2 linked regions of the Schizosaccharomyces pombe genome follow. The gene in region 1 interacts genetically with each later gene. Each region holds a gene or a part of one and is shown on either strand. Other genes may lie near its edges.

Region 1 (5,970 bases):
TTTCATTGCTTTCCCGAATGGCTGCTAATCATGCATCTGCTTACACTGTGGATGATTATAAGGCGGCCGCCAATTGTTTACAATGCGCTAGCGGTATTGCCAAACTCTTACGCGAATCTTTCATTCATGCACCTGGAAGAGATTTAGATTCCAATTTTTTACTAGGTATTTACAATCTTTTCTTGGGTCAAGCACAGGAGTGTGTCTTGGGACATATGTCTTTTTCAGCTAGTGACTCTAACATGAACTATTCGTTGGCTGCAAAGATTGCTAGTTCGGCAGCTACTTTATATGATAGCTGTGTACACGCATTTGAATCTATGGAACCGGCGTGCAATCCCAATTTCATACGGCTTGCTTCTGCCAAAAAGGCCGCCCTTGAGGGATTTTCCTCTTATTTTATGGCACGCGCTCAGTTGGAAAAATCGAAACAAGGGCTTGCTATTGGATATTTACAACAAGCTAAGTCAATTCTTTCGTCTGCTCAAAAGTTATTCAATGGTATAAAGTTGAGTACTGATTTTATTCATAAGCCTAGTCTTTCTGACTATCCTCAGACCATTTCTACCTTCATCAAATCCTCCTTGTCTCATTTGTTAAAAACTGCTGAGAAAGATAATGACTTTGTGTTTCATGATCTTGTAGTCAAGGAAGTTGAGCTCCCAAAAATATCTCCTTTGCAAGCTCTACCACCACTTCCTTTAGAGAAATTGTATGGAAGTCAAGATGGATTTGAAACTGCAAAAAAAATTGTTGGAGATGATTTGTTCAAGGCCTTTGTGCCTAGCGCCGTTACGACCGCCAGTTCGCTGTATTCAGAGGAGACTGCCAAAGTGTTTCGCGCTGAACAAGCTGAAGTAGAACGACAAAACACCCAAATGGCAACGGTTTTCGCCTCCTTAGACCTTAGCCGGCTTCAAGAAATCACACATTCGGATTCCAAAACGAACTTTATTCCGAAAGAACTTATAGAAGCTCGTTCCCAACTTATTTCTTTTAATCCTACTTTTAAAATTCACGAGTTGTTTGCAAAATCCACAAAGTTGAAGCAAATTATAGCGAAAATTAAGAGTGACTTAGAAGTGGAAGCCAATGAAAATGCCAAGATGAAGGCGAAACTTGGACCCTCGTGGACGTTATCAGATAGCTTAGAGTTTGCCGCTCCTTATCAAAGTGAACTCAACAATTACTTGAAGACCTTGGCAGAGGCTTCCGCTACTGATTCCGCTATATCCCAACAATATGCTTTAGTAAAAGATGATGTAGAAACGTTGTGTAACTCTTCCAAAATTAGCGCATTACTAGAATCGTCCATTTCCTCAACTGATAATTCTGGTCAAAGCTTACTTGATATTCCTATTGAGCAGGAGGAGCAAGAGCGCGATATGAAAATACAGCTTGACTTGTTAGAAGAATTGCAATCCAGAGTTCAAAAGTTAGTTCCTGAAAGGCAGACCACTTTACAGGCTTTACAGCAAAAGTGTTTGCAAGATGATATTTCTGAGTCTCTCATGCAAAATAGTAAGCGGAAGGACTCTGCACTCGATACCAATCAGCTTTTTGAACTAGAATTAAAGAAGTTTGACCCCTTGCGAAATAGATTACATGCATCTTATCGGCAACAGCAACTACTATTGAATGAGATGAGAAATGTTACACAAAAGTTGAAACAAAATCCGGAATTTTTGAGAAAGATGGAAGTATACAATAACCAATTTTCTAAAAATAAAGAGTTATGTTCTAATTTGCTTTCTTCTTCTCTTACGGCTAAAGCTATATCGGAAGGTGTATCTAAGGGCCTTGAATATTATAAAACTGTTGAACAGAGACTTGCCGAAATTAATAAGACCCTAGGAGAGCAATTACTTTTAAGAAGGAAACAGGGTGCCACATGTCTTTCAAAACTTTCATCTTCGAGCTCCTCTCATACAAGTATTTCCTCTAATATGCGAAACCTTCACATCTAGCGCCAAGTAACAATTTGGCTGTTACTTTAGGTTCTTTGTCTTCTAGTGTTTAAGTAAACCAGTCCAACAACTTTATAATTAATAAAGCTTTTTGGTGAGCGGACTCTTTCGTTAAAGTTAGTAAAGATGGATGAATTATCAGAAACGCAAGTTATGCAAAACGAAACGGCTACAGCTGTTCTTCCATTGCTGAACGGCGAGAGTCAATCGTTCAATTTGCAAAAGCATCTTAAGTATTTAACCAAAATGCTAGATCCTCTTCCTTCTCCCTTTACAGTATTGGATGCATCAAGGGCTTGGATGGTTTATTGGGAACTAAGTTCATTGGCAATTTTAGGCAAACTTGACAGCTCTGTTTGTGAACGGGCTATTAGCAGTGTGCGACAGTTGAAAGGGCCTAGTGGTGGTTTTTGTGGTGGGAATGGACAAGATGAACATTTATTGAGTACTTATGCTTCTATACTCAGTATATGTCTTTGTGACTCCACCGACGCATATTCCTTGATAGAGCGCGATCGTTTGTACGATTGGTTATTCTCTTTAAAAAATCCGGATGGTTCGTTTCGAGTTAATAATGAGGGAGAGTCGGATGCTCGATCCGTTTATGCAGCTGTATGTGTTTCTTCTTTAGTGGGAATCAGTATGGACGATCCTCTGTTTGAGGGTACCTTGCAATGGCTTTGCAAGTGCCAAACTTATGAGGGAGGTCTTTCAGGTGTCCCTTACGCCGAGGCTCATGGCGGATATACATTTTGTGCCCTTGCCGCAATTGCTTTGCTGGGAGGTCTTGACAATTTAAATGAAATAAAACTTAGCACTTGGCTTGTACAACGTCAAGATCCTGCTCTTTACGGATTTTCCGGTCGCTCTAACAAGCTAGTGGATGGTTGTTATAGTTGGTGGGTCGGTGCTAGCCATGTGATTGTGGCTTCAGGCTATGGTTCGGCTTCTCATAAAAGCCTGCCTAACCTTTTTTATAATCCAGAAAAATTATTAGGATATATTCTTCAATGTTGCCAGAGTACAAGCGGCGGTTTACGTGACAAACCACCAAAACGGCCTGATCAATATCATACTTGTTATTGTCTATTAGGGTTATCATCAATTGCTTATGACTACAGATATCACACTTCTGATGGTTGGTCCTATAAACCTTCCATCTTACACTCCTCTTTAAGCTCTTTATTACCGGCTCATCCAATTTACTGTGTTCCTTTTGGTTTTGAAGAAAGAATTAAATCATATTTTCTGTCACAAGAATCATCAAAATTCTAATGGTTTATTTATGAGTTGTCTATGGACTTTAATTTTTCATGAGAGGATTTTTTTTATTATTTTAACGGTTTATGTCCCGAGTTTAATATCATGCCTATTTTACTTCTCTATCAGGTATTTACTTCGTCATTTTTACACATGTTGAATAAATAATAATTCTTGACTTATTTGTTATCTTTAAAATCATTAATGTCATTAGAATAATCCTTACTAAAGGAAATAAACCATAGCCTTTTACTTATATAGGCAATCGTGGTCCCAATAGAGATCTGCATATAATGGTAACAAATCAGTCATAGAATGCTTTCCGTCAGGTCTCGTAAAGTAAAGCTCCCAATCGTCAGGTGAATATAAAGGCTTATCTGCAATTTTATTTAAAATGTCGTCTAAGCGTGGAATAACAAATGATGGAGCAACAACGTCAACAACTTGCTTATCGTCTCCAGAAAAAGAATCATCAAATCCAACTTGCGAGCAAATAAACCGCAGCGGTTCATAATGAGGAGTTGTAAGATGAGCAGTGTCATCTCCGTCATCTCCTAAATCATCGTGTGTAGTGTATCCATATGTCTTGCGAATGGAGTGTTCATAAAAGTCCTCAAATTTTGCATCAGAAACTTGTGGAGTGTTAATTTGAAGAGTATCTTCAGCAATCAGATATCCACTGTGTTGTAGAGCTTGTGGCAGGTACTTAGTAATCGACCATGGGACATCTTTCAAAACATAGAATATATTACTTTTAAAAGGACAGACTTGAAAGACCTCGTCTAAGCCAAAGGCACCTGAATTTAGACCACCTCGAATGCCACCCGAATTTACAATAATATAGTGAGGAATGTGATGTCGAGACTCATTGACGACTATTTTTGGAAAAAGTTCGGATTGAAATAGATGATAAATTGAGTTTGAATCGTTAAATGGAACTTCTGAAAATGCAAACTTTTTTGGGGAACAACCTATAGGAGTAAGTAAGCCAAGTGCCTTCCGAGCTTCGTAAATGCCATTAGAAATAAATTCTCCAAGTGAGGTATTGAAAGAAGACTTTTTTGTTTTCGAATGAAACATAAAGCCCTCGGGATTCCAATCAATATAGGAACGAGAGAAGCTGACACTGGCAGATTTAGCACTTTGCAAAGAGGAAAATATCTGCTGAGATGACCGTCTAATACTTTCGCCTATAAATCTCAAGCGCTCAGCTAGATAAGATTCCACCCCCATTAAAGAAGAAATCCCAGATAACTTGACCAACGATTTGAAGGATGGAATGCCGTTAATTGAGACCCAACCAACTGTTTCGCAATATCTTCCTGACTCAATTCCCACTGCTTTTTCATCGTAAATGGCATAATCTCTAATATGGGAATGACCACCAAGTACTTGTATTGGAGTGGTAGGGAAGTGAATCCGAAGCTCTGAAAGAACGATATCAAGCTCTGAGGCATTGTGAACGGGTACATGAGCGGGAATCAGAATCAGATCGATGTCTTTATTTGATACCATATCGTTCCACCATGGCTGTAGCGAGAATTGCGAAACTGGGAGGACACGAACCGTATCAGTAGCACCAGAAAATGAGTTTACAAATCCAAACGCAAGGATTTTAACATTGTGGGGTGTAGAAAAGATGGCATATCGATCTCCAAAGGGTACAAAAGAAGAAACATGTTCATCATATATGTCAATGTTTGCAGCTAAATATCGGCCTTCCCACAGAGGAATGAAATTATGATAAGTATCATTTGCAACAGTTGAGAGATAAAGCTCATGATTTCCAGCAACAAGAATATCATAATCCATATTTGCAAGTAATGAATCTGTCCAACTACCAGGGGGATCTGTCAGATCTGACAGGCCCGTACCATCATGAAGATCGCCGGTATCTACTAGCAGTAAATCAACGTCTTTTTGTTTTGCCAAGTGCTTCATATGTTGAACAAAAGAAGCGAAATCTCCTAAATCTCCTGAATAACGTTTATCTCGCGCATGTCCTGCTAACCAGCCATGGATGTCAGTAGTGTGTAAAATATTGACTTGACCCCATGTCAATTCCCGACGAATTGCCAAGGGCAAAGTTGCTGAATAGCAAGGATTGATAACAAATAAAAGAGAGAAAATTAATGAAAATGTATGGGCAGGTTTCATAATAAATATTGGTTCCCAGTATATAGGGTAAGTGCAGAATCGCCAAGATAAGAAGATCAAGTACCAAGTCACAAGCAGCAAATAGTAGCCAGCCAAACCTTCGTAATATGACAATCATTGCTTCCATCAAAAGTCATGGGAGTTTTAAAAAAGAATTCGTAGTCGCCTATTTTTTTTAATCAAAAATTTCTAAATGAAAATTGCGACGTCTGCAAAACGAGCACGCAAATGCAAGATTTTGAGATCGTCAAATGATTAAAAAGCTTTAGTGAAACACTACACTTATGTTATGCCTTTAACTTCCGGTTGGGCATAAGTATTTAGTAAAAGAAAAGAAGAATTGTAAATTGACAATGTGTGGGGAATTGGTTTGACGAACGATAATAGATAATATTATGCAATATTGTAAGTAATATTTATAACCTTATCACAGAGAAAAACGCTTTTAACCAGAAGTATTCCTTCCGAAAAACGTATATTGTCTTTATTCACCAGAGAAGAGTGCAAAAACAAAATATTGTCATTGTTGCTCAAGAAAATGATTAAGCAAGAAAAATTGGTTTTATAGTAATGCAAAAAAATTTGA
Region 2 (3,643 bases), 1.7 Mb from region 1:
CTGTATAGGAATAGGTTTCCTAGTATATTAACATGGAAGAGAAGTGCGACTACGCAACCTGACGACACTATTTTCAAGGATCCAGTAATGGATGAGCAAGTCCAGAAACTTGAAGAGAAAATGAGTTCATTAGTTGTTAATGATCCGGAACTTGCTCAAAAGGTTGGCCGTCTTCGTCAGTTTTTTGAGAAATACGGCCTTGAAGCTGGTTCAAAACCGTCACCTCTTACTATCCTAAAGATTACTCGTGATCCGGAATTCAAGCAGTTAGCTGAAACTATCACGGAGATATTTAAAAAATCTGGAATTCAAAATGATCCTGCGTATGTTTTTTTGAATGTATTCCATTGATTGTGCGAACACTAACATATCTATAGATTTTTGGAACTTGTTCGAAGAAACCTTAAGAAAGAAAAGTAAAAATATGCCTCTGACATTTTTTTTATTCTTTGTTTGGCCTAATAACCATTACTTGTTCACTATTATGTGAAACTTACAATTGGAGGAATGACTAATGTTATTGATTTCATAAACGATTCACTATACATCACAACTACTTTCTTAATTAGTAGGAATTTTAAACAAGATGCTTTATCAAAATATCAGTAAACCCAATTAGCATTCAAAGCATAGATTTAAGGATTGCTCCTTTGGGACATCCATGTCCATAAAGCGGCATGCGGTACGTCAACCTCATTTGCTAGTTTTTGATAAATCTCTTCAGACGACGAAGGCTCGTACATAGCTAAAAACTCTAAGAGTGGCTTGTGTAAAGCAGGCAAATTTTTTCGGAGATTAGCTATGAGATTATCAAGTTTTGAAGGTCCTGATTTGTCAAGTACACTGTAAAAAAGTTAATGAAGAATGTAATTAATGGAAATGAGAGATACTTACCCACACAAATAATTCCAAGCACTCTGATTGTCAGGAGCAAAAAGGATTTTGTCTTTCAGATAATTCAGTTCCTCTTCCAAAGACCAAGAAACCACCTTGGAGGTTTCAAACAAAACATAAAATCTATGATTCCAAGCCGAATTGTTATAAATGTCTTTTTCCAATAATTCGTTGGTTAACTTCAGCTCTTGAGAATAATCATTAAAATTTTGCAAGATCCAAACTCGGTAGGACCAGACATGATAATTTTTACTGTCAATTTCAAACATCTTTTTCGTAAACTCAAGTTCACGCTCATAATTCTTAGTCAAAGAAAGTATTTTTTGCCTATGATGCCAAACCTGGTAGTTTTTTTGAAAATCTTCGGCAATTTCATCGAGCCATTCTAATTCATTGTCTATGTAACTGGGCGTGTGGTTTAGGATTTGAAATCTATAAGCCCATACTGTATAATGAGCTGGATTATTCATAATCAAGAAACCTGTTAAATTAAGTGCTCTCAAGGAGTACTCCTTTTTAGCCATAATGGCACGAAAATAAGCCATTCCTTGTTCATATCCTGTCGTGTAGCAAATTTTCGCTAATGGGTTTTCGCCATCATCCTGAGGAATGGGTGTTAATGGTCCATATTCTGTAAAATCCAAAATTTCATTTAACTCGGGATCAATGGGATCCATTTCATTAATTTGGCATCCGTTGTACAATTCTCAACTCAAAGAAACAAATACTTAAAGGCCGAAAATTTAATTATAAGTGTTTTATTAAAAAGGATTGTCAGGTTTTTCTAAATTATCAACTCGAAAAACAATGAGTCTCTTTGTTTAGTGCGTACTATTGTTCAGGTGTGATGGTGGGTTAACTAAGGAGAGTAAGTAGATGAATAGTGAGTTAGGATTACCATGTTTACAATATGTGATTTATTTCAAACTTTTATCATAGTCTTTTATTAATTTTATTGTAGGCAACGGAGTATATTCATAAAACTTCAAACGTACAGGTTATATGAGTATCACCGACCAATTCGTGGTATTTCAGTATTGCCTATTAATTAAACCGGTGTTATATTTTCAGTTTGAGCACAATAAAAAAAACATCAAGTACATCAAGTAATTGCAAAACCCATCTAATTTTAAGTAGAGTATGAAATGTTGTGAGTTTATAATAATACCTAATTCATGTCCTGTCCGGATAGATGCGCTTTGGTCGTACAAAACGAATGACTAGTGATTACAAATTGCCTATGAGAAATCTGTATCTTCAGCATCCTAGCGATTAAAACTGATGAGGATTAAAGAGATTCATGCAAATTATTTGAACACCTATATAAAGCATTGAAGGCTTCTGGTGAACAACACGATATAGAAAAATATATTGATATGCGTTTCAATGATTATTTTAGTTTAAAACGAGAACCTAATCACCAGAGTCATGAAATGTCATTTGTTAGTATCTCCAAAAAAATATATAGCAATGCCGAAGCAAATTATTTCTTTATAATCTCCTGATCTACTCAATTTTTAATTTCTTAAGTTGAAATCTGACATTCCGATTATTTACATATACTTACAATGAAATGTTGCAACAATAATAGCATTTAAAGCATTTTAATATTTTTTAATTGATCCAAACCTTCCATTAATATTCAGTAAATTAAATTAACATCTTAAAAAGGGTTCGAAGCTGCTTTGAAAAGTCATGTCAAATTTATATTACTACTTACTTTTCCCTTACAGAATATATGACCAACCAGAATTTGCGCTAATAAAAATTTAATTAAAAGTAATTAAAACGTGTCTTCTAAGAAAGCAATGACTTCTAAATGTTTTCGACTTTGCTGGATTTTTCTAGATGGTTAATTATGCTTGACTTCATGCACTAGACGAAATTTAGATTTAGCTCATAATGTGCAACCTTCACCAACATAGATGACTGAAATTTTATTGAATTGAAAAACTCAAAAATTAACTGATCTTTATTTGTCGGTGTTTTTTAATTCAATTTTGAGAACGGGTTTGTGGGTTTGTACTTACCGAAATAATTTAGAACTAAAGGAAGTTACTACGGCAGTCTGTATTACCTCTAGGTTTTAGACTAAAACATCATAACAGATTTATTTAGATTTTTTTCTCATTTCAAACATTATTTATTACTTTTTGTTGTCTTTACATTATTTTGTTTTTAATTTACTACTCGCATTTCGCCCATGAAGCGTCAAAGACCACAAGACTCTATGATATCTGTCCCGTTGCAAAATGAAAACAGTACGACCACTCCAACTAAAGAAGTTAGTCATTTAAACTTTCCTTTGAAACGACCGCGATTGCATTCTTTTGTCCCAACTTCCAAACAAGCCGCTTTATCAGACATAACTCCAGACACGCCTCCTGCCTTCAAAACTCCTTACAGTAGTTTGCCTTACAATTTGGTTCCCCAGAATTCTAGTACTAGCAAAAAAAGACCAAGGGCAGAAGACCTGTTGGTTATTGAGCCGTCTCAAAATAGCCTTGTTCCTAGTACACAAAATAATGAGTGGAACGAAATTGCTCGAAAGAGAGTATCTTTAGAGTCCGATCATCCTGACAAATCGGGTCAAGTTATTGACCTTGCAACAGGGCAAATACTCGACAAGCAAACAGAAGATATCGATGATGATCGAAACAAGAGTGCCGTATCAAAATCCCTCGTTAGACATCCTCATCGCTTGAAGATGCTTCCTTTTGGTATTCAATCCGCACATCCTTATATATCT

Evidence for each region.
Region 2: of cpp1 (region 1) and cwp1, extra expression of one rescues a mutant of the other (dosage rescue), as found in Schizosaccharomyces pombe (one study listed by BioGRID).

The regions. Positions count from the first base shown.
Region 1 is NC_003424.3:3,592,469-3,598,438, reverse strand, and holds cpp1 (protein farnesyltransferase beta subunit Cpp1), read left to right. Parts: upstream 1-2,032; 5' UTR 2,033-2,093; coding exon 2,094-3,242; 3' UTR 3,243-3,476; coding exon of another isoform or gene 3,477-5,384; 3' UTR 5,385-5,445; downstream 5,446-5,970. Other genes in the region: bro1 (vacuolar protein-sorting protein), read left to right, coding at 1-1,967; SPOM_SPAC17G6.03 (phosphoprotein phosphatase), read right to left, coding at 3,477-5,384. UniProt on the Schizosaccharomyces pombe protein: Catalyzes the transfer of a farnesyl moiety from farnesyl diphosphate to a cysteine at the fourth position from the C-terminus of several proteins. The beta(cpp1) subunit is responsible for peptide-binding.
Region 2 is NC_003424.3:1,864,038-1,867,680, forward strand, and holds cwp1 (geranylgeranyltransferase type 1 alpha subunit Cwp1), read right to left. Parts: upstream 1,735-3,643; 5' UTR 1,572-1,734; coding exon 895-1,571; intron 844-894; coding exon 636-843; 3' UTR 514-635; downstream 1-513. Other genes in the region: protein dpc13, read left to right, coding at 1-323, 378-420; SPOM_SPAPB1A10.05 (uncharacterized protein), read left to right, coding at 3,098-3,643. UniProt on the Schizosaccharomyces pombe protein: Catalyzes the transfer of a farnesyl or geranyl-geranyl moiety from farnesyl or geranyl-geranyl diphosphate to a cysteine at the fourth position from the C-terminus of several proteins having the C-terminal sequence Cys-aliphatic-aliphatic-X.